Drosophila melanogaster: one gene and its partners. The protein of the gene in region 1 purifies or fractionates together with the protein of each later gene. This does not show direct contact. Each region holds a gene or a part of one and is shown in the gene's direction. Other genes may lie near its edges.

What was found.
Region 2: the proteins of dlp (region 1) and ltl purify together in Drosophila melanogaster (affinity purification with western blotting; one study listed by BioGRID). This does not show direct contact.
Region 3: the proteins of dlp (region 1) and apolpp purify together in Drosophila melanogaster (affinity purification with western blotting; one study listed by BioGRID). This does not show direct contact.

Annotation. Positions count from the first base shown.
Region 1 is NT_037436.4:14,630,839-14,638,211, forward strand, and holds the start of dlp (dally-like), read left to right. Parts: upstream 1-1,762; 5' UTR 1,763-2,234; coding exon 2,235-2,544; intron 2,545-7,373. Other genes in the region: RecQ5 helicase, read right to left, coding at 1-980, 1,043-1,145.
Region 2 is NT_037436.4:7,515,820-7,522,997, forward strand, and holds the start of ltl (larval translucida), read left to right. Parts: upstream 1-3,177; 5' UTR 3,178-3,865; coding exon 3,866-4,158; intron 4,159-7,178. Other genes in the region: CG7546 (uncharacterized protein), read left to right, coding at 7-231, 297-647.
Region 3 is NC_004353.4:1,057,364-1,064,952, forward strand, and holds the start of apolpp (apolipophorin), read left to right. Parts: upstream 1-3,605; 5' UTR 3,606-3,773; intron 3,774-5,314; exon of another isoform or gene 5,315-5,556; intron 5,557-6,881; exon of another isoform or gene 6,882-7,018; intron 7,019-7,459; exon of another isoform or gene 7,460-7,589. Other genes in the region: Zyx (zyxin), read right to left, coding at 78-209, 270-390, 444-792, 847-1,141, 1,738-1,988, 2,056-2,473, 3,050-3,241. UniProt on the Drosophila melanogaster protein: Constitutes the major component of lipophorin, which mediates transport for various types of lipids in hemolymph. Acts by forming lipoprotein particles that bind lipoproteins and lipids.

The DNA of each region.
Region 1 (7,373 bases):
TCCGTAGTATAATCTACAATATGACTGCAAGCCATCGCGTCCAGCGCGACCAGATTCTTGATAATAAGCAGCCACATTTTGGGGTACATCCCAGTGGATAACGAAGCGCACACTTGGTTTGTCCACACCCATTCCAAAACTATTGGTTGCACATATAATGGGCTGATCACCCCGCATCCACGCTTCCTGGACTTCAGTACGTTCTCCTGTTTTCAGACCAGCGTGATAGGCTACTGCTCCGATTCCCTGTTTAGTTACCCCTATCGCCATGCGCTCCACTTGGTCTCGAGTCCGGCAATATACGATTCCGCAGCCTCTTTGTGGCTTGGGTGTATCCTTAAACTCCTTCGGATTGCCCAAGCAGTGTCTGGCGAAATCTGCCAGGTGCTGAAAGTCATCTTCGATAGAATTCTTGTAAACAATGTCATAGAAGAGGTTTTTCCTGAAGCTAGGAGTGCTAAATTGAGCCACGGGTTGGTGGAGGCGCAACTGCTTATATATATCCTCCTTGACTTCCCTTGAAGCTGTGGCAGTCAAAGCCAACCAGATGACGTCGGAATATTTGGAACGCAGCTCCCCCAGCTTTAGATAGTCCGGTCGAAAGTCATGTCCCCATTGGCTAACACAATGCGCCTCGTCGACTGCAAAGTAGGCAAGCTTATTGTGTTTATGGAGGGTTTGCAGCAGGTCTTGAAAAAACTTGGTGGCGGCCTGTTCCGGGGTTATGTAGAGAAACTTCAGGTTGGTTCTCACGGCCTTTAAGTCCATTATAACACGATCCCTTTCTTTGGTGCTCATCTTGGAGTTCAAAGAATCCGCCGGCACTTTCAGTTTGGTTAAATGATCTATCTGATCTTTAATCAAAGCCAAAAGCGGAGAAAAAACAATGGTTATTTGATTCTCTGACATCAAACCAGGCAATTGGAAGCACAGGGATTTACCCGAGCCCGTGGGCATCGACACATACACATCCTGCTTTTCTGTAAGAGAATTACGAGAGGTATTATCTGCGAGATTGGGTAAGAATTTGGCCAATATTCACTTTTAACAGCGCACTTCACGGCTTTTTCCTGTAGATCCGATTTGAATTTCGAGTGGCCAAAATGCTTTTTCAGCGCCTCGTGCACAGCGCTTTCATGCGCCATACTTGGGCTGTTATTTAAATTGCGTTTTATTTAAATAAACATTGTTTTGCTTCAGACCAAAACTGGTTGCCGCCAAAACAGCTGGTTTAGAGATGAACAATGCGGCTAGATAGTGGCTTTCGATAGTGTGGACCTTCCTTTATCGATGTCACATATTTCGAATAAATTTAGATGTCCACACTATTTGTTTTGTACACAAAATATTTTAAATGTGATTAAATAGGCATTCATCTCGCCTATAAGCGCGACATGGAAGTTTTACTTTTTGTGATTAAATTATTCAAAAACCATTTAGCTTACCAACCAATTAATAAATATACAGTCGTGTGTTTGCAAACAAAAAAAATTTATGGTATGTATAATTGTATATGTATAATAATTTATATGTATGTATGTATTAACAGGACCAATCTATTTCTTGTAAAACTTTCGTTATTTTATTTTTAAATTTCACAACTTTCTAACAAACGTTTCCCAGAATGGAATTCTCATAGCCTAGTGACACTGTACATACCTAAAAACGGTGTAAGGCGATAGACATCGATAGCCGCGGTCACCAATCGATAAGCGCAGGCTGAAAAGAATCGACGGTAAGCAGTCGAAATTCAAAGAGACTTCTCAGTCAAAATTTTATAGCCGACTCGCGAGCACGCGCTGTGCTGCTTCTTCCTGCGTTGCGCGCTTTGCTTTCAATTCGCCTTTCGTCGTCGCGGGTGCGTGTGTGTTGGAGCGAGTGCGTCTATGTGCAGTGCGTGTGCCGCTATTTGTTAATTGTTAATAATCCCGATTTAATAACACCCGACAACCATGTTGCACTTCAATTGCTTCTGAACGCAAAATGCGCACTGATAAACGCAAACGACAAAAATAAGTTTCATAATAATAATAATGCCGGCAAACAAAGCGGTGTATTAGTGTGCGTATTTCAGTGTGGGTGCCTGCGTTTGCCAAAATTATTTACCGCAAAAAGAACAAACACAGTCAAAACGATTTGAATCCCAATCGAAACTAAACGACAACAAACGCCGGTGAAATTAGCCCTGTCTCTCGCTCTCTCTTTCCCCTTAAAATAAAGAAAGAGTTATCAAAATGCTACATCAGCAGCAACAACAACAACATCTGCATTGCAGAAGAAAAGCTACAGCAACAACAACTGCCCGCCTTGTGATATTCAGCAGTCCTCTTCTACTATTACTACTCACCACCCACTTGCCGCCCACCTTACAAGCGGACAATGGCCCCGCCCCCCAAGTGGCCGCCCTTGCCGCCCCCAATCCGGCGGGTGGCGTAGCAGGGTCTTCGATCATCGATCAATTCAGTCCGAATTGCAGTGCTGTGACACACATTTTCCAAGCGAGAGGAATCGATGCCATCGAAATTCCCCAAAAACCCAGTAACGGTATGTCCGATATTATATACCAATGGCTTAATAAATACCTGTCGAGAAATATTTATTATTGTAAATATTTAAATTTTAAACAAAGTTATAATTACTTCTTGTGGGTGAAATGTTCAGATCATAAAAATTTTTTTTTAATTTTGAAATACGCTTTAAGTGAAGGATATTAAAAAAAAAACTTAAAGATATTTTCAAGAACTCTGGTACTTTAGTAGGCTTATTATAACTTATTGCCTTCCCATATGGTGTCATTCAAATAGTACAAATTTTAATTTGTAGCGATGTTTAAAGTGCGAAATGGTTGAGGTAGTGCCATTCTTAATGCAAAAAAGATAAGAAAATCCATATCGTGGCAATCAGATCTTTTAAAATGTATACTTACATTGATATATGTAGTATGGAAAAGTATGGTTAGTATGGAAAAATGGACTATAATCTTTAATAAAGTTATTTAATAAGCTTAAAGACCATATTATTTATCCAATGGAATTAAAAACTCAAAGCAACTAATATTGGTATTACCCGAAAAAGAATCCGTATATTTCATAACAATAGTAAATTGCCGGAGATAAGAAACAAGTTTGATTCGCAAAGGAACAAAGAGAACTCGTGTATAAATTGGACGATTCCGTGATTCATTCTGTTCCTTCAACGCGCCTGCAGAGCTCCCTCCACTCCCTCCGCCCCCTGAAGGAAATAAAATTCCAGGCAAATCAACTCGAAATGCGAATAAGCAGCAGCACAAGACAGGCTCTAAATAAGAGAGAGTCCGTCGCGGAGAGCGTGTCCATCCCAGAGATCTTGGCGCATGCGTCGCCTGCTCATCGCAGCCCCCATTTCTGCCCCCGGTCCATTCCTACCCAGTGGGGGCAAAGGGTTCCAGTTTCCAAGACCAGTCCAATAGGCAGGAGCAGCCGCAGCGAAAAATCTCAAGAAATTCCTTTTTGATGAACAAAAAAAGGAAATAAAATGAGAAGAGCGCGGGCATACAGTAGAGCATCGTTGGCGTGAACTGCGTGAATTACCTTTTATATGTTTATGGGATATGCTATAAGAGTTATTTAAAACTGTTAAGGATTTCTTAATTATTTCTATTTTGAGATGCCATGTTTTACAAAGTTTACGAATCTTTTAAAGATATTGGACTGTGGAACCCATTTACAGGCTCTTTACCTAGTGCAAGAGCAAAAATGTTGTCACACCGCTTTTACACATAGTTTAATGGGGTATAAGGGGTGGAGAGGGGTAGACCTAGCCTCGACCTCGATCGCCTGTGGGTTTTACTTAATTTGTATAAATCCTGAATTAATCACGCTTAATTGCAATAAGTTGCGCTGCCCTCTCTTCGTCGCCTTCAGTTTCTCTCCCTCTCTCTCTGTCTCTCTTTGTTTGATTTGTTGCCAGGTAAACTGTTGCAGCCTCTGCCCTTTTGCCCCACCCCATACCCCTGTTCCAGTCCATACCCCTGCCCCTCCTTTAGTCCTCTACCTGCGCCCTGCCTTTGTTTATTTTTGGTTTTCAACGTTGCCTGATTGGTTTTTTTTCCCTCCCGATATGTTTTCCTTATTTTTTATCTTTTGGTCAAATGCATTGCGCGTTGCGTTGCGTTTCGTTCATAATTTCATGGAAATGTCTGTGGGGGAGGGGGGCGATGAGGGGCCAACAGGTAGAGTGGTCAGTTCTCGAGTTCCCTTTTGTGTTGTCTTTGATATTAATCAAGGTGTCATTGAAATCGTTTAAATTATGCAGTTCAGGATTTTTATTCTCTGTCGGCATTTTTATGTGAACCTTTTACTTCCCGATCAACTCGAACCCCCGTCCCTTGGCCATCAAAAAACGAATGCACTCGAATTATTAAAGCTAATCCGTAAATAATATTTTAATAAGTTTTTCTGGTCCAGTAGGATTGCAATCAATAAATAATTCAATTTATGTTGACGTATTAACATTTTATTCATGTTCATGTGATTGTTATTCAGTGCTTTTCAAACAATAAAACAATTAAATATTTAAATGGAAAATTATTTATAATAGGACAAATTTTAATAACAGATTTCTTAAATTTATGCTAAGCTAAAATGCCATTATTCTTTACATTTAATTTTTCCCAGTGCACAGCTTCTCTTTCCACCGTGTGAGTCATAAATTCTTGTGTTGCGTCCTCTCTTCTCGTTCGCTTCTTTCCATTCCCTTTCCATTCACCTGACCCCCACCCTTCGCGCCTTGTCCGCCTGATAAGCGCCAGCATTTAGATAAAGTTTCCGACCTGTTCTTTTCCCATGCCTTCTCGAATTGCTTAACTGGGAACTACTTTTGCGATAGGTGTTTATAGGGTCTTCTGGATGGAGTTTCGTGGTTTTGTAGGCCAGCTAACTGGTGAGGCTGTGCGTCTGATAAAGCTAAACTTCCATTTGCGATAGGTGAACTAGTTTATGAAACGTAGACTTTTTGGGGCCAACATATTGTCGTAGGGAAGTTCTTCAAATTGACTAAGGTTGGTCTTCGTTGAATATATATATAAAGTAGCTAGTTAGATAGTTTGATTTTAATATATAATTATGTCATTTAAATACTGTAAATGCTGTAAAAACCCAAGACCATATTTGCCAAGCAAAAATTTCGTACATATATTTAAGGTAAAATTTTGAACAGTCACGTCTAAGTGTTTTTGGCCAATTTCCCAGCGCTCTCATCTTCACACTTCAGGCGCATTCCTTTCCATTGAACCATGAAGAGCAACAAACATTGGGCAACAACAACTGCATGACACCTTCCGTGCTGCACAAACAACAACCATGGCAAACAACAACTACAGCTGCCACTTAAACGCTTCATTAAAGCTGCACTTCCTGTGCCACATCAAAAAGCTGTGCGAACCCACTTTAACCCCAACCCCCTTGACCATCGTCCCCGGCTCGCCATCATCATCAGTGGTAGGCAGGCACTTAGCTGAAATTGTTTGCACAATTTAAACAGTTCGCAAAACATTAAATCGTTAAAAATAATATCAGAGGAGCGGGCAAGAGAGACTCGATGCAGAGGGAAGATTGGCTTTGTAGATCGCAACTTAAAATACCCTTAAATTGTGATTTTCATAAAAAGTTATCGATAGTTTCAATACTTATTCTATAGTTTGTTTAATAAAGTGAACGTAAAAGGCATTTTCTTCTACAAAAATTTGAAATTTTATCATCAAGATTCTTAATTTTCTTAAATAATACTACCAAATCCTTGGTACAACCCTTCTGTAAGGTATTGAATACTCTTTCGAGCCAACCAACAAATTTCCCACACAGAAACGATCACCTTGCTTCCTCCTATTCTGCATCTCTCTCCCATCCATTATCCATCTTTGTCTGCCTTATGCCAAAAGAAATTTGCAACAGAGCTGATTTTAGTTTACTGCGCACAGCAGCAGTGCTTTCACTCACTGAAAAAAAAACATATTTATAGTTTGATTTAAAAAATTTGAATATATTGTTAACTGTACATTTTTCATTTTAGGCCCCTCAATAATTTTGGGAATACAATTAACTATTCTAACATCACTTTAATGTGCATAATATACGAATCACCGAATCTTCATTAACTTTATTTCCGTGTACGGTTGCTCCACTTCGATGGCGTCTCCACTGGCTGCACTGCATCCGCCGACTGCCCCTGACCGCCCCCTCATCCCGCCTGCTTCAAGGCAACCACCGCATGACTATTAATCATTTTCCAGCAACCAAAACTGAATGGCCCCATCTTGTTCTCTCTGTTTCTCTCTTACTCGCTCTTTGGGCCCTTTTCTTTAATTTTTTTTTTTGTATTTTTTTGCACTGTCGCATTCCTTGGCCGTGTAAAAGGAAGAAACTAAGCGAGCGGTTTATATGGCACTATATCATCATCATCTTCATCGGCGTCGTCGGCGTGTGATCATCTGATATATACTTCTGCAATTGTTGACCATTGTATGGAGGAGGTTTGGGTTCGGGTTTCGATTGGAATGCAGATTAGATAGGGCGGGGTATATAAACGAGTAGGAGTTGCTGTCTGGTGTTTGTTTATGAGGTCATTGAGGGGATAAATGGTGCGTTTATCACGGGGGCTTTTCGCATATTGGAACTTGGCTTTGGGTATATAAAATCTAAAACTTATGAAGCTTTTTTAATATGATTAGCAAACAAGCATTAACGAGCGATCACAAAGTTTGAGCGCCACTGACAACCCACTAAACTAGATCACCTAACATCTGGTAAACCGAAAGCTTGCCAAGAGGCACCACTTAAAAAACGCGATCATGATCGATAGCAAACTCTTTCACGCGATCTCGCCCCCTAATATGCCATTACAATTACTCAGTTCCTAGGGGCTACTCTTAGCCATCGAGAGATCATCTCAATTGCTTGGCGATCTCAAAAACCAGCTGGTGCTATCTGATCCAGTGATCGGTGCTGGGATTCCAGACATTTTGCCCACAAAGTCAACACTTGCTGAGATATCTCGCACTAAAGATCGGAGATCTGGGCAATTTCGCGTAATTAGCTGACGATGCTGACAGAAATGGGATCTCCCAGCCGGCAGCCACTGCTGTGACAACAAAAGCCAAAAGAATCGTCAGCAAATTTTCTAAGAATGAATCCTGTGGATCGCGGATGATTCAAGTTGGATTCGAGTAAGGGATAAAATGAAAACGAAACCGGGGCGGAGTGAACGATCGTGGCTGGGCCAACGACTTAATTGCCGGCAAGTGTCGGTGGAGGATACCAAAAATAGGTAGAGAAGAGAATCCCAGACTCTCGGCCAGACTTCCAACATTCCCAGTCATCTCGAGCAGGTCAAACGTG
Region 2 (7,178 bases), 7.1 Mb from region 1:
TAATAGCCATTTGTGGCGCCGCCTCCTTTTGCTTTCAACCCACAACAGCAGCAGCTGCAAGAGCAAACTCTGGACACGGATGTTGAGATGTCCGAAGTGACCGCCAGCGGCAGCAACAGTTCACCGGCAGACGAGCTACCAGCTGTGATTGTGGGCTCAGAGCCTTGGCACATGAGTTTCCCCAATGATTGGTTGCCTGTGATAACGCGCGACCTACAGACCCAGGCAGAGGTAGGTTATTCCGTACAACTTTCTGGAATTACACTAAACTATGTCTCAATCTATGTATCCTGCAGCAGAGTAATCGTCCCCAGCCGCCCTTCTCGGATGCCTACATCTCGGGCATGTCCGCCAAGCGCCGCAAGATAATTCAGTCGGAAAAGCCGACTGCCAGCGTGGAGTGTCTCATTGCTAATGGAGTGCAGAGGGCTATCCAGAGCGTCGGCTTGGGTGGAAGCAATGGTGGTAGCGCCTTAAACGCGTCGATCAGTATGGATACCGTAATCGGATCCATTGCTCACGACTCCACCATTCAGGCCGCCTACACGGATGCGGTGCGCAATAGTTTAAAAGAGCGTACCGAGCGGGATGTGGATTTTAAGACCAGCAAGTATCCGCAGATTGCCAAGTTCACCGAGCAAAAGTAGGGGGCAGATACGGAGACGGAAGCCTGGCCACCTAATGCTTCTTGTACATTTTACTTTAATAAATTGTATTTAATTTAGTTAATGGTTAAGTTCTGTTTAAATCGAGAAGACGACGAAGATTGCGACAACACCAACACACGGAGTGGACCCTTAGCAAATGCTTCAAACTATTTAGAATAATAATATCCAACTGATATTTATCCACACACACACAGAGATACACACACACAATGGGTCAAGACGCAACAGAGCCCAATCAAAAACAATTTTTGCGGTGCATGAATGAGCAAAATAAACACACATATTAACCGAAACAATGGCGATTGGAATTGGATTAAATGGACTTGGATATTAGACCACACACCGAGCGGAATGCTTTCAATTGTCCCAAATGGCGGTGGCGTCCCCGCGTCGGATGACGTGCTGCAAAATCAGAACAGACCCGTAGACCCGTGACGACAGCCAAATTCCGAATTCCAGCCAAGTATTTTGGCCGGCGCCAAATCGCCATTGACGTGAGCCGATGGCACATGATTGCTGGACGGCCGATGACGACCAATCCGGAATGTGCAGATCTATTCAAGTGGATAAGCCTTCAGCAGAAGCATTACCGGAGGCATATCCACACCATCCCATCGTACCAGCAACCCGCACCATCCCATTTCATCGTCATCGAAGTCCGAAGCCTACGCTACTCTTGTTATTGTTGTCGCCTGCAATCGAAACACGAAAATGTGTCACATAAAAATGTTGAGAATATTTATGTGCAAAAAAAATAAAATAAAAACAAAAAGAAATACCAAGAAGCCGTAAAGAAAAGAAAACATATGAATAAATAATAATTATAAATATTTGCCGCTTTTCTTTAAATATTTACTCGAGATGATTGGGCGCCAAAAATAGATTGGCTACGTAATCGAGGTATATTTTCGTACCTACAGTTATTGATTACAGTGCGGTTCAGCACTGTAACACCACAATTGGCATCTGCTAAGCTCGGCAGTTGCTGTGCTAAAGAGTTTAACATTTTAGTTTATTCCAAGCTGCCAGTTTAGATCATAATTTAAATAACTATCTGCAATTCTTAGAAAATTATTCTGCGTGCGTTCTAATAAATTTATGTTAGATATATTCATAAGAATCATGACAATTTGAAAACTATAAACAGTTTATTTAAAAAAACCTTCCAGAGATATGGACATTATTTGATAGGAAAAACTGTGGAATTCGGAAAATATGTTCATAAAAGAAGAGTTTATCCCATTTATTAACAGATCTAAAACAGGAAGTAGTTCAATTACGAGAGGAATATTATTAATTGAAACATTATTGGATTGATCGAATAAAAGCCGGTCATAAGATTTAATTTTTTAAATCCCTCTAAATGAGTGAGCCCGGCTGTATGTAATTAAGTTAATCTCTCCGACGGCCCTAAACATAACATAATCGTGCCAAGGTTCCTCGGGAGCTTGCAGTCTGCATGGAAAATGGAGATGGATGTGTTGGCTGGGCATCAGAAGTCACTCAGCCAGTGGCCGCCCCCCGATGATCCCGATGATTAATTGCAGCCAGAACTGCAGACGACGACCACGACGACGACGAGGAGGAGGAGACATCGTTGGCACGCGCAATCCGTGGAATTTGCGGAATTTGTGGCGAGCGCATTTAAGGCGCCCAGTGTTTAATTATGCATGCGGTCCCAGAACTTGGAGATAAATTAAGGCAGCGGACTTTGATGCATGGCTCCTGCTCCCGGCTCCCTGCTCTCTGTCGCCTGCTGCCTGCTGCCTGATCCCATCCCCGCCAGAGTTTTGGAATCGCTCTGGCGCCAGTGGAAAATTTTCACTTGGCCCAATCTCAATTGGGCTGCGCAGATCCTTAAACAAGCCGGTTCCATTCAAACACTGCCAACGATCCTATCAGATACGATACGTTCCGATATGATACGATCCAAAAAGTCATAATTAAAAACATAGCTTGAGAGCGAGCGAGGCGAGTGCCAGATGTGTGTCTATGTAAAAGGACAATTTGATGGGAGTGCGTAGAGCAAGAGCAGCACATATGTAAGTACCAACATGTGTCCACGATAATATAATGATGCCCCATACATAGAACTGGGTTCCGAAGAAGATCCCAGCGGCAACATGGGCAAGCAAGTAGCATGTAGCAAGTAGCAACAAACATCAGCACTCGATGGGGGCACAAACACATCGCACATCGCGATCGGGATTGAGTTGCAGATATAGATGGAGATTGATGCCTGGCGCCGACAGAACATGTAATTGAGTGTCGTGGACAATTATAGCCGCATCTCAAGTCCCCAATTGGCCAAAAAGCCGCTCGAGCATCTCGCCGGAGCGCCAAGAGATCGGAGAGAGAGTAAAACCAGCAGCAGCAGCAGCAATACATATCGCACCGCAGCAGCAACAGCGCTGCCGGCAGCAGCAACAGCAGTAGGCAGCAGCAGCAGCAGCAGCAGCAGCAGCTAGCAGCAGCACATACGAATCCTCAACGTTAGCATTTCCACTCCCAGTCGCAAAGAGACCGCCCTGCAATCTAGACGTGATCAGCAGCCCATCAATAAAAAAAAATACAATAGAGATATACTCGCGGTGTTCGACAAACAAACAGGCAAATACAAAATTTTTTAGAAGATTAATTCCGAGCATCGGCGATCTATATACAAGCGGGTCAGAAGGTCTAGCAGATAGGAGGAGGCGGAGGAGTAGCAGCTCCAGCTCTAGCTCCAGTTCTCCATATCCCAGCCGTTAAGATTCGATACGATCGATACGATCGATCGATCGACCGAACTTAACCTTAAGTGCGGTGCGCGTGTGTTATTTGAAAGATCTTTCAAAAGTAGTGACAGTGCGGCTTTGAAATCCGATGCCAGCGGTTCAGAGAATCAACGAAATCCTGCTGGAAAACCGAGCTGCCATGGAAACCCCCGCACGCACGCATATGTGCGCCTAGTGGGTAATTTCCCGAGTCTTTCGTGTTTTCCGAGCTGCCTGCTCGAACAGTTGATAATCCGCCGTCCGAGCGAATGCAACGTGTCCTGGTCTCGAGCCGGAAAACCGTGATTTGTGAACTGTGAACCGAACTGTGAACTGAGATATCGTAGATAGCGAAAAAGTGTACATATACAAATATATTATTGCTCTGGCCAAAGAATTGTGAAATCGCATTCACCGAGTGACTGAGATCACTCTACGAAAATGACTTCCCTCGTGTACACCGTCTTTCACCTGGCCTCGCTGCAATGTTCCGTGCGTCCGGAGATCTCGCCCTGCACCTGCGAAACGGGCAAAGCCTGGAATCATGTGGAGCTCTCCTGCGAGAAGTTGGAATCCTTCAACGCCGTCGTGGACAGCCTGGCCAATAAGCTCAATGCCGACACCAATATCGACCTAAAGATCACGCACTCGCAACTCGACGACCTGGAAATGCGCTCGTTTACGGATATGAACTTCAACTTGTACAAGCTACGGATGCAGTGGAACAGTCTAAAGTGAGTTGAGTCATCGATTCGGTTTGCAATTTTGGAGAGCAGGAGCCAAATAGCTCTATAAGGGGTTTCCCAGCTGTGGTGTAGATTCTATACAAATTCCTTTGCTGAATCACTAGATTTTTAGAAACTGACTAAAAAGTCGCTACTTTACATTTGCCAAGTATAGATAGATTCCATATATTGCTCACAAGAGGAACACTCCTTTTCATATAGCATACATTTATGTAAGTACAGTACAGATATATCGTTGGTAGCGTGTGCCAATTTGTGTAGATCGAGGTATAATGATGTATTGGGGAAATTTTCCTGCTATAGATTCAATCAAAATTTCTTTACTGTGGCGGGGAGTTCAAGGCCAACAGCCAAGTTCCGCAGAAAGGCAGAATTTTCCGCTCGGCCGGCTATCAATTTAGGTTCCTTAAACCCAATAAAAACCGAGAGAAAAATAATAATGCAAAATGTACACAAATTTCAATACGCTTATGTAAATGCACGAAAAAATGTGCTCCACAGATCGGTTCGGGTGGCCAGATCTTGTTTACAGCCATATACATACTACATAGATACTAAAACAATAACAATGTCGTTTGTTTACGTCAAAGAGCCCAGTGCCGCCTCATTATCTATGGCTCAATTGGGCAAATTGCGAAGGAGATGGATGGATGTGGTTGGAGATGGTGCAGTCGCATCTTAATTGCCGCCCAGATGATTTAATTTTTCAATTAGGAAGTAGCATTGAATTGCCGCTAATTCCCAACTATGGGATGTGCTGCCGTAGCTTGAGTCTCGTCGTCTTCTTCTTCTACTACATCTTCTTCTTGTTCAATTGATAACTGATAACGCTTATCACCTACGAAGTATTTATATAGGATTCCGCCTATGTACTTAGCCGTATGGCTGACTGGAGGTATACGACGTATACTTAATGCGTACACAAAATTGATAATTGCAGTTTGTTGAAGGCGTCTTTTCAACGGCGCCTGCACGTTTTCCGACTCTGACTCTCAATGAATTTCAATTCACTGTCGCATTGTGTTTTATATGTACACATATTGACAATTATAATTAATGCATATAAATAAATGCTGTCGATCCACTGATCTGCACTTGCGAATATAGAAATAACATTCGAGCCTATTTCATAAGCGCCTGTCGCGGGTTCATTGATATTTGACTCCGTTGTTTTACAGCCACGATTTTACATTCGCGATTCAAAACAAAATATGACTCAGGGGATTCTTTGTGCCCAAAGCCCCAAAAAAAATGTTTTCGAAAACTGAATTCAATCACAAGGACAAGCGTTTGTTTAATTTATCAATAGCTTCATTCAACTGTATCTTTGTGTTAGCCGAATTGAAATATCTCTTTGTTACAATCCATAGTACTAGACTCATTCATGTTTATATTCCAAAAAAAAAAAAAAAAACGCTTATCTTTATTGTTTTTGGGAATCTATTAAAAATTTAATAGCGACTGTGTGGGATGAAACTGGGTTTAGGCGTACATTCGGGAACACGTTTTAGTAATATAGCACAAATCATCGAAAGTATTTGGAGTAACAAAGTGCGAAAGCTCCACCAATCAACCGATGGCGACCTTTTAGTTCTGGGAAAATCCATTCCTTGAATCAGTTTTCTGAAATCATGGCAATTGCCCGGCGACTACCCCCACGATTAAACTATTCGATTTATCATTCTCCGAATGCAATTTGCGTGTTTGCATGGAAGTCGGCATGATTTAATTAGCCGACTTGATCGAATCAGTGTTATGCACCATCTCCCCAATCGGCGATCTCCCCCAGAATCCAGCTACCAAGCATCCAACATCCAGCATCGAGAATCCAGCGGAGAGCGCGTGCCTCTGGTGGCAATGCCTTCGATTCTGGCTGCTCGGGGAACGCTTTTTACATTGATGTCAATTTATAACAATTGACCTATTGCCTTAATATCGTGCTTTGACCAAATCATGCCAGCCAGCCAGGAAAAGTATCGCCAGCACACATGTGTGTATTCGTATGCACTGCGAGAAATTGGGCGGGCTTATCTTTCTGACAAGAAACATTTTTAATATTGGGTATACAAGTTATGCATTTTAAATACTTCAAGGGTAAAAATAATTATTATTATAATTATAAAGCCATTTCTATTAATCAGTTAAAATCATTTATTTCCTGTGTGGCGCCATCATGAAATCTCAATTTTTTTTAAATACTAATATGCATGAAATTCCCAAGAAATTTTAATTTCTGCCACTCAGCTTTTTTGGTGTTTCCAATCATCTGGGGAATTGGGGAAATCACTAAATACGGAAAATATCAGTTAGTTCGCCTTTCTCTTGGTTATCAAACGTTGAATCCCATTGCACTGATAGATCTCGTCCAAGTACACATTTCTATATCATGCTAGCCGAAATGTAGACCACAGCTGAAAGCAATATGTGATAAGAGCTTCTGTTTATTTGATTTCTTTTTTGTATTACTATTAAATATGTTTAATGGCTGGCGCCAAATTATAATCAAGTCGAATTTACGATCACTTTTTACGATTGCCCACAATCAGTGAGCACTTGAGTGAAGTGTGGGCAACTATTGAATGGACATAAGGACATCTGGGGGCTGGGATCGTCCAGATGTTATGTATTATGTGGCCTTTTCGGACGGATTGATGTCTTTGGTCTTTGGTGCGTTGTCAGGCGATAAGATGGTCTCATGCTCGGGGACCACTATATGTGCATTATGTGTTCAATCACTCGCACAATTGTTTGATCGCATATTATAACCAGCATTATCGGCATGCAGTCACAGCCCTGAGTAAGTGCGAAAAATGTTGACGGCTTCATTCGCTGGCTGGCTGACAATTAATTATGATAACTACTCGTACATAATTTATTGGGTGTTCCATGGAATATTTCCAGCCGATCTGTCTGGGCCCAAAAAGAGATAATGTTTCCGATGGAAACGGATTTACTATAAGTTACTCAATCGCTGCAGGAAGCATAGTAAACAATAACATAGCTTCAAT
Region 3 (7,589 bases), on another chromosome or scaffold:
TATTATTATCAATTTATTTTCCGATATTGATTTTCTAATATATATAAAATGCGCAATAAATAAAATGAGCACTCAATTTAATGTTCTGACGTCATGCGGTTTGTTAAAGCCTGAACCCTTTTTGCATTGCAGCTTTTACATAGAACATGGTCATCCAGGGGATAACATCCGCGGCCCTCAGCTTCAGATGATAGTAAGAGCCCACAGTCCTATTACATGCAACAAAAAATAAGGACATTTTTCCGATTAATAAATATTCCTTTGTTTACCTCACACTTATAACATTCTAGATGAAAACTTCGATCTAGGGCCACTACTCTGATCGTTTCTTCTTGTCCTGGATCTGGCATAATTGGTTGCTTGCAGACACAACAGCGAGGGGCAAATTTTCTGTGAATTCATAGAAATTAATCAATCGACCATGCAAAAATTACATAACTTACTTATGAAAATCTGTTATGCAATAGTTTTGATTAGTAGCATCAACTGTAAATAATAGCCCATCTAAGCTTTTTCCGCATACAACACATGTAAAACATTGCGGATGATATGGTTTTCCAGTAGCTCTAAGAATTCTCTCTAAAATTGGTTCCATGCAAACAGAGCATTTTTCCAGTGTTTGTAAATAATCATATTCGCAATAGGGTTTGCCGTCTAATGCATAGAAAGGTTTTCCCTGTAAGTTAATTTGGCAATCTGTACATGTGAAGCAAAATATGTGGTATATTTGATCCATTGCTGTACATCCACTACTTTCTCCAAGTACACGTGAATTGCATTTGACACACCTACCTGTATAAAATATACGTTAATTTTAATCGATAAAAATTTATTATATTAACTTACCGTAGTTTTCCAATTCTTGAACCGGTTCGGTGGGTATTGAAATGTAATTTTTTAGACCTTCCTTATCATTTCTATGGATGCTGTTCACGTCATAAAATGTAGTTCTAGCATTACCATGTATGTATAGTGTTTGGTTAGCTTCAATCGAATTCGAAATATTGTATTCATGGGAAATGTTTGGATTATTATCATTAACGTATGAATTATGCAGATTATAACTTTCACGAGGCAGCGTATCTGCAACACAGGGTCGAGGGTTTATAGGTTCATATATTGAATCATATGTAGAAGAGCTCTGAAAATTAAAAAATTATGAATTATATAAATTATTATTATAAAATGCAAACAAAATTTTGTTCCAAATATACAATTAATACATCATTTGGAAGTTATAATCGTAAAAAGGAATAAAAGATTCGGTGAAAAGTATGTAACATGTATATATGAAGAATCGATTTCGATCGTATATATTTTTTTGTTGCAAAGGAACACTAGCCGAGTCTATCTGCCCATGCACGTATGCCCACTCTGATTTTGGGAACAATATAGGCAATAAAACCTGCCGGACTAGCGAATGAAATAGATGCATTTGTACATCATAATCCACAAAATGTTGTTAATCCATCTATTTAACGTTTAAAGTTCTTTCTAAATGTGGAAATAGTTATTGTTTATTGTTTTTTTTTTTTTAATAAATGTATATACATTAACATATTTCAAGTTAACTAAAAGTTCAATGGAAAAAACTGCCTACGTTCGTAAGTCATTTAATTATTCTTCAGCTTTGCTGATTGCATATCTTAATTTTTGTCGTGCACTTCTATTAGATGAATAAGATTGTTTATCAGACAGAAATATACTCCAGAGTAATGAACTTCAGATTTTGTGTACCTTGCCTGTGGCATCATGCTGCATCGCATATTGGTTTGCATATATTTGTAAAGGATTCGTTGTCTGGTTATTTTGTAAATAATCAATTGGTTTGTTGAATTCCAAAGTGGCGTGACGAAGCTCACTGTATGAAGAACTCACAGCGCTCTCTGGACTAGGTGGTGGCGGTAACTCATCTTTTTCGTTGTCTGAAATAAAATTAGTGCAGACGGATAGCATCTTTTGCGTTGAGCTATGAGAAGAGTCCATTGCTTTGACATTTAAATTATTTTATAATTAATACTATACAATTTTTATATAAGCATTACATAAACATACCAGTTTCATTAACGTTTGAATATGTACTCGCAGAAATCTTAGTTTCGTCTGTTAATAGTTCTAATGTTTCTATTTCTTTGCGAACAGAACCTAAATTAGAATATATTAAGCTTTTGCTTAAAGTCTTTGAAAGGGGCTTTGTAAAGCTGTTGAGAGGTTGTGTTGGCTTAGCTTGTACTCCCAAAAGACCCTTTTTTTCCATTTGAAGTTTATGGTAAGCAAGAGCTTCTAATTGCTGTTCCAAAATTGCCGGATTATCTAAAGTTGTTTTTCTGTTTATTTGAGTATCAGCAACTCCGAATTCAGAGCTGAGGTATTTTCTAAAAGGCATATGCCCCCTCATTGTTTTCTCGACTCCAATCAGAGGTTGTGAATATAGTGGTTCCCGCGAACACAAAACCTGTCTGCTTGATGGAACCTGAAATAAATAAATATTTATGCTTAAGTATACGTTATTATACACAGTTTTTCAGAATAATAACTTTTTATAATACAGGGTATAATAAGGGTATTATAAATAAAAACTAAGATGTGACATGCAGATTTTAATGACTTTGTACGCTGTGCAAAGTTCTAAATATTGCCACAGTTTGCACAGTTTGGTTTTTACCGAAGTGAAAAAGGCATGCGATAGATATTTAGGTACTGGTACAGTTAAGAATATCCCCTAAATTTACATATGTATACTTAAAACAATATTTACTTAAAAATTGATTATGTTTTTTTTAATGAATTGCTCCTGATATGTCGTGTAACAATCCATTAGTCTGTACTTGTTTTTGATTTCTGTCATCTGAATGGTAGCAAATGTTCGCTCACAGTCCAGCCGATCAATAATATATAAGTATATTACATATGCTTTTGTAGAGGGACGGAAATACCCTCTAAAACGGTACAATAACGGACTTTAAGGCTTAAAGAACAAGCCTTTGAGGAGAATCAATGAATTGCTTTGTATATAACACAAACTGGCTATACTAAAGTATGTATGTACCTGAGGCATTTCATTATATTTTATCGGCGGCTTAGGAGGTATATCCAATCTCCTCTTTACTGATGCATTTTGATTATTACTTATCTTGGCGACTAGCTTCGCAACTTTTCCATGTCCAATACATACAAGCGGTGAGCCTGTGTCACCTTTTGGAAGCGACAGCTCTCTAAGTTGCTGGGCCACAGACTCCATTGAAATTTAACAAAACGCGATTCCGTTTTCCTACAACAATAATAAAAACCTTTTTCTAATTTAAATTAAATCAAACATTCAAAGTCGTGAAATTTTAATTTAATATTTTCACTCCTTAACATTAATGAAATTACACCTGTAATGATGATAGTTTGGTTTGTTTTTAACCTGCATATAATTTTACTATATGTATAAAACAATTATTTTTATAAAATTATTGACATTTCAATACTAAGTGGAAATAAAACTATCGCTTATCGAATTTATGAGGCCCAGCAGTGTGACCTTAACACGAGAGCTAGAAAATCATTCTAGGCGCATAGGCTCGTATTCGAACTTATTAAATATGTAGTACTCACTTCGTACAATCGCTTTATATCTCGAAAGCTAATAAGACCATAGACACACTTAAGCGAGATATTGAAGCTAAATCCATATAAAACATATATATGTAGTTTTGCCTAAACGGCACCTTGGCAATCAAAGAAAATAATCCTAATCTGATTATAGGCGGACTATAAGTCAATGTAAGGTATTGAGAGAACTAATTGTTTGATTGAGACTACTTTAGTACGATAGAATAAATGAATAGAGTGTGAACAAATTCATGCCAAAGGACTTTAATTATTACATAAACATTAAACCGTGCGTTGAAACAATATTGTTATGTATTTTTATTTATAAATCTTAAAATATCAACGAAAAATTCGCCAAAAACATCGATGTCCACCAACATCGATGTTTCTCCACCTCTAACCTAAGTCCTAGAATCGAACTAATCCCAAGTGGGTAACGTGTACATTTTGTTTATTTTAGCAGGTATAGTCACTCCAACGAACAATCGGACACGTGCACTCTTATATAAGATGTGTCTCAAAGTGTCAGTCTGTATGACCTTCCCTGTAAGCGTATAGATCTCAGGAACTATAAGCTAAAAAGTTAAGATTAAGAATGCGTACTGCAGAGACATACGCGCAGAGCCAGTTTGCTTTCATGCCCGCTCTAACGCAGATGTACAAACCGCACAAAATTGCTACACCCATACCTTTCAAAAATATTTGTTTTTTTTATTATATATTTTTCTAATTTCTATCGGTTAACCAATAACATTTTGGCCACGCCCCACAAACCCTCCGAAAACTCCCACGCCCACACACTTTTGAGGAATAATTTTATTTGCATGGATTATATAATTTATTTTGCCTAGCGATGTACCCCAACGCCACCTTTCCAATCCGTCACGAATACATTTATGATATATTTCGATTTATTTATTAATATTTTTTTTTTTAATTTTTTATCGAAATGCCGATAAATAAGGAAATATTTTGCTCTTCCGTTTGTCGAGTAAGGGATATCTGACTGTCGGGGAACTTGACTATAGCTGTCACTGGAAAACTTTATGGGAAAGTTTCATTCAGGGATAATTAGTGAGACAAGTTTGTGTAGAAGCGAACGGATGGCAAAACAGACGATGAACGGCGATATCGACTCCACCGCTTTCCAGAAACTGATCAATAATTGATAAACCCCTGAACAAATTTTTAACTCAAATTTTTATAATATTTCCTTTGGGCCCAAACAAAACAAATGGCTGTCATGTAGGTGGCTTCCGATAAATTCGCTCACTCGACCACTGTTATTAAAAATATTTATAAGTTAACTTTATGAAATAAATCTCGTTTCAACATCATCCGAAATTGCATTTTTGTTCTTCTCCCAGACAAAGGAATTTTAAAATAAATTAAATCTGGTGCGGCTCTTTCAATTTATTTTTTCGTGATATTTGGTTCAGCTAATTTGCTAATAAATGTAAATGTAAATGCGAAGTCATATTACTTCATATTCAAGAAGAAAATTCTGTTCTCTTCTTATCTTCATGTAAGAAATTCACATTAAATACCGTGGAGGTCTGAATATAAATATTAATTTCATTGAATAAAGTTCCTCGTTAATATAAAAATGATTGCAAACCACAGTTGCTTGTAAATAAGTACCATAACGATATCCATATTTTTGAACACCACACCCAATCGTCTAATTGTTTGGCCCAATCGAAGCGAAATTAAGCTCGGTGGAGGAGTATTGTAAAGGATAGGGGAATGACCGATTTCTAAGGAGCCACATAATTAGGAGCCAAAATAATTATTAATTAATCAAATACCTTTTTAGTCAAGTGGTATAAAAACCCTAAATATGGGAAATCTATCATGAAAGGTGCACTTTTAAAAGGAAGCTGACTTGGAATCACTTCACATATGTACGGCCATAGAGCTCAATTCATCAGCGGAATCTTTTCAGAAAATGTGGGCACGGTAATCTAACTTTTTAATGGTTAAAGAAAAAAGATTTAAATGGTTGTAATCAGACAATCGTAACTGACATCCTATTCTACGCTTCTAAACAGTGGTCTCCTGCTGTCACAACGCACTATTAGTGATCATCTTCAAAGCGTGGACTTCCGTTTACGATGATTTATTTACTAACCGGGAACAATACAAGAGTAAACTTCTTTCGAACTGTAATTTTTTCTGTCCGATCACGCAGGCTGCCTTTCTGCGTGCTTATCGAGCAGCGTTTTGCTTTCCAGCAACTTTTAATTACAGATTAAAGTTTCTTATCAGTCGTTAACTGCAATTCAGGAACGAACTTTCATATAAACATATTTTATACATCTGTTCAAAATCAAATAAATATACATGTGTAAATATGTGTATGCATATTTTAAATACCTATGTACCTATGCTTGCATTTGTAAGCATACTTTCATCTATATGAAAAAAGGGCATAAAAATGTATAACAAATTCCATTACAGATGTGTGCAAACATGGATTGCAAGTGACAATCTCTGCAAATGCATATATGTATGTATGTATGTGTGTACTTGCGCATTCACATTAAATTTGGAATGATAACAATTGTTACATCGAATTTCTCAATACCTATACATAAAACATAATTGCTTTAGAGTTACAACTAGTTTTCTTATTTGCACATACAGTTTGTCAAGAAACTGTTTACACACTGTGAAATAAGTTGAATTTTTGACTTTAAAGGTAAAAACTAAGGGTTCTTTGCTTAAATTAAACGCAATTTTTTTCTAAAATATAATTAATCAATATTTATTTTACTTATGAATCAAAAAACGAATTAAAAATATTAATTATACAAGAAAATAAACAACAAATTCCAAGTTTACACACTTTTGAGACTGTCAAGTATATAAATATCAGTTTTCAACATTTATAATCACAATTATACTTTGCATTTCTTACAGTTTTCAACACCTTTAAGAGGAAAACGTAATTTGCGATTTGTTTATTACTTTATTAGCCCAAAGCCATATTTAAAATATTGAAAAGGTAGATGAAAGGATTTTGTACTACTAAAGTAATAGAGTGATTCGAACAATATTTGCTTTTAAGTTACATTTTTAATGGAGACTGTGGGTGGTTTTGGTAACATATGGCTTGCCAGAAAATGCGGTGAAGTGTAAATTAAAATGCTTAATTGGGTATAATAGGTCTGGTAGGATGGCCAGAAGGGGGTGGTCACCCAAAACAACCAAGTTTAGAAGCAAGCATAAACGACCCTGTAAAGTATATATATATATATATAAACTTGAGCAGGATTTCTTACCAAATCGATCTGGGCATGTCCGTCCGTGCCCACACTTTTGAAAAATGTTTGATATTTTGCATTTTTGTTATCAGTCAGATTTATCAATCAGATTTTACAATCTACCGATTTTTACGTCGCTCACTGTCACGCCCACACTTAAAAAAAATTTTGTGATTTTTTTTCATGTTATTATTTTTCTGGTCATTTTCCACTGGTATATCGAGAAAATGTAGGTGAAAGACGGGAAATGGTACTATAGCGTCTACATTTTCTATATATTCTATATTTTATATCAGCCATTGTAAGTTGAGCACGTATTATGCAAAGCGATATATTTTTATTTAATTATATCTATATTTAATTATTCTTTATTTTATTTTTGTCTTATGTATTAGATGAAAATTGAGAGTAGGTAAAGGTACTAAGCTAGGGTCGAGTATGTCGAAGTCCGATTATAATGAGATTATATTAAATACACTCGGCTTTGGCCTGAGCACCCATCGCTGGTGATAAAGAATCGTTTAAATGCATGTCTCTCACAATGTGTCTTCATCTGTACTTGTTTCGCTGTATTTGTATTTATTTACAAGACATACACTTAAATACTATGTGGCACAATTGTAGATGTGTGAGTTCTTGATTTATTTGAGGTATTTAAAGTGAGTGTTTTCACGTAATCCGGCTTAATTCGTAGACAACGTTCATTGTATTCGAATCGGTTTAATT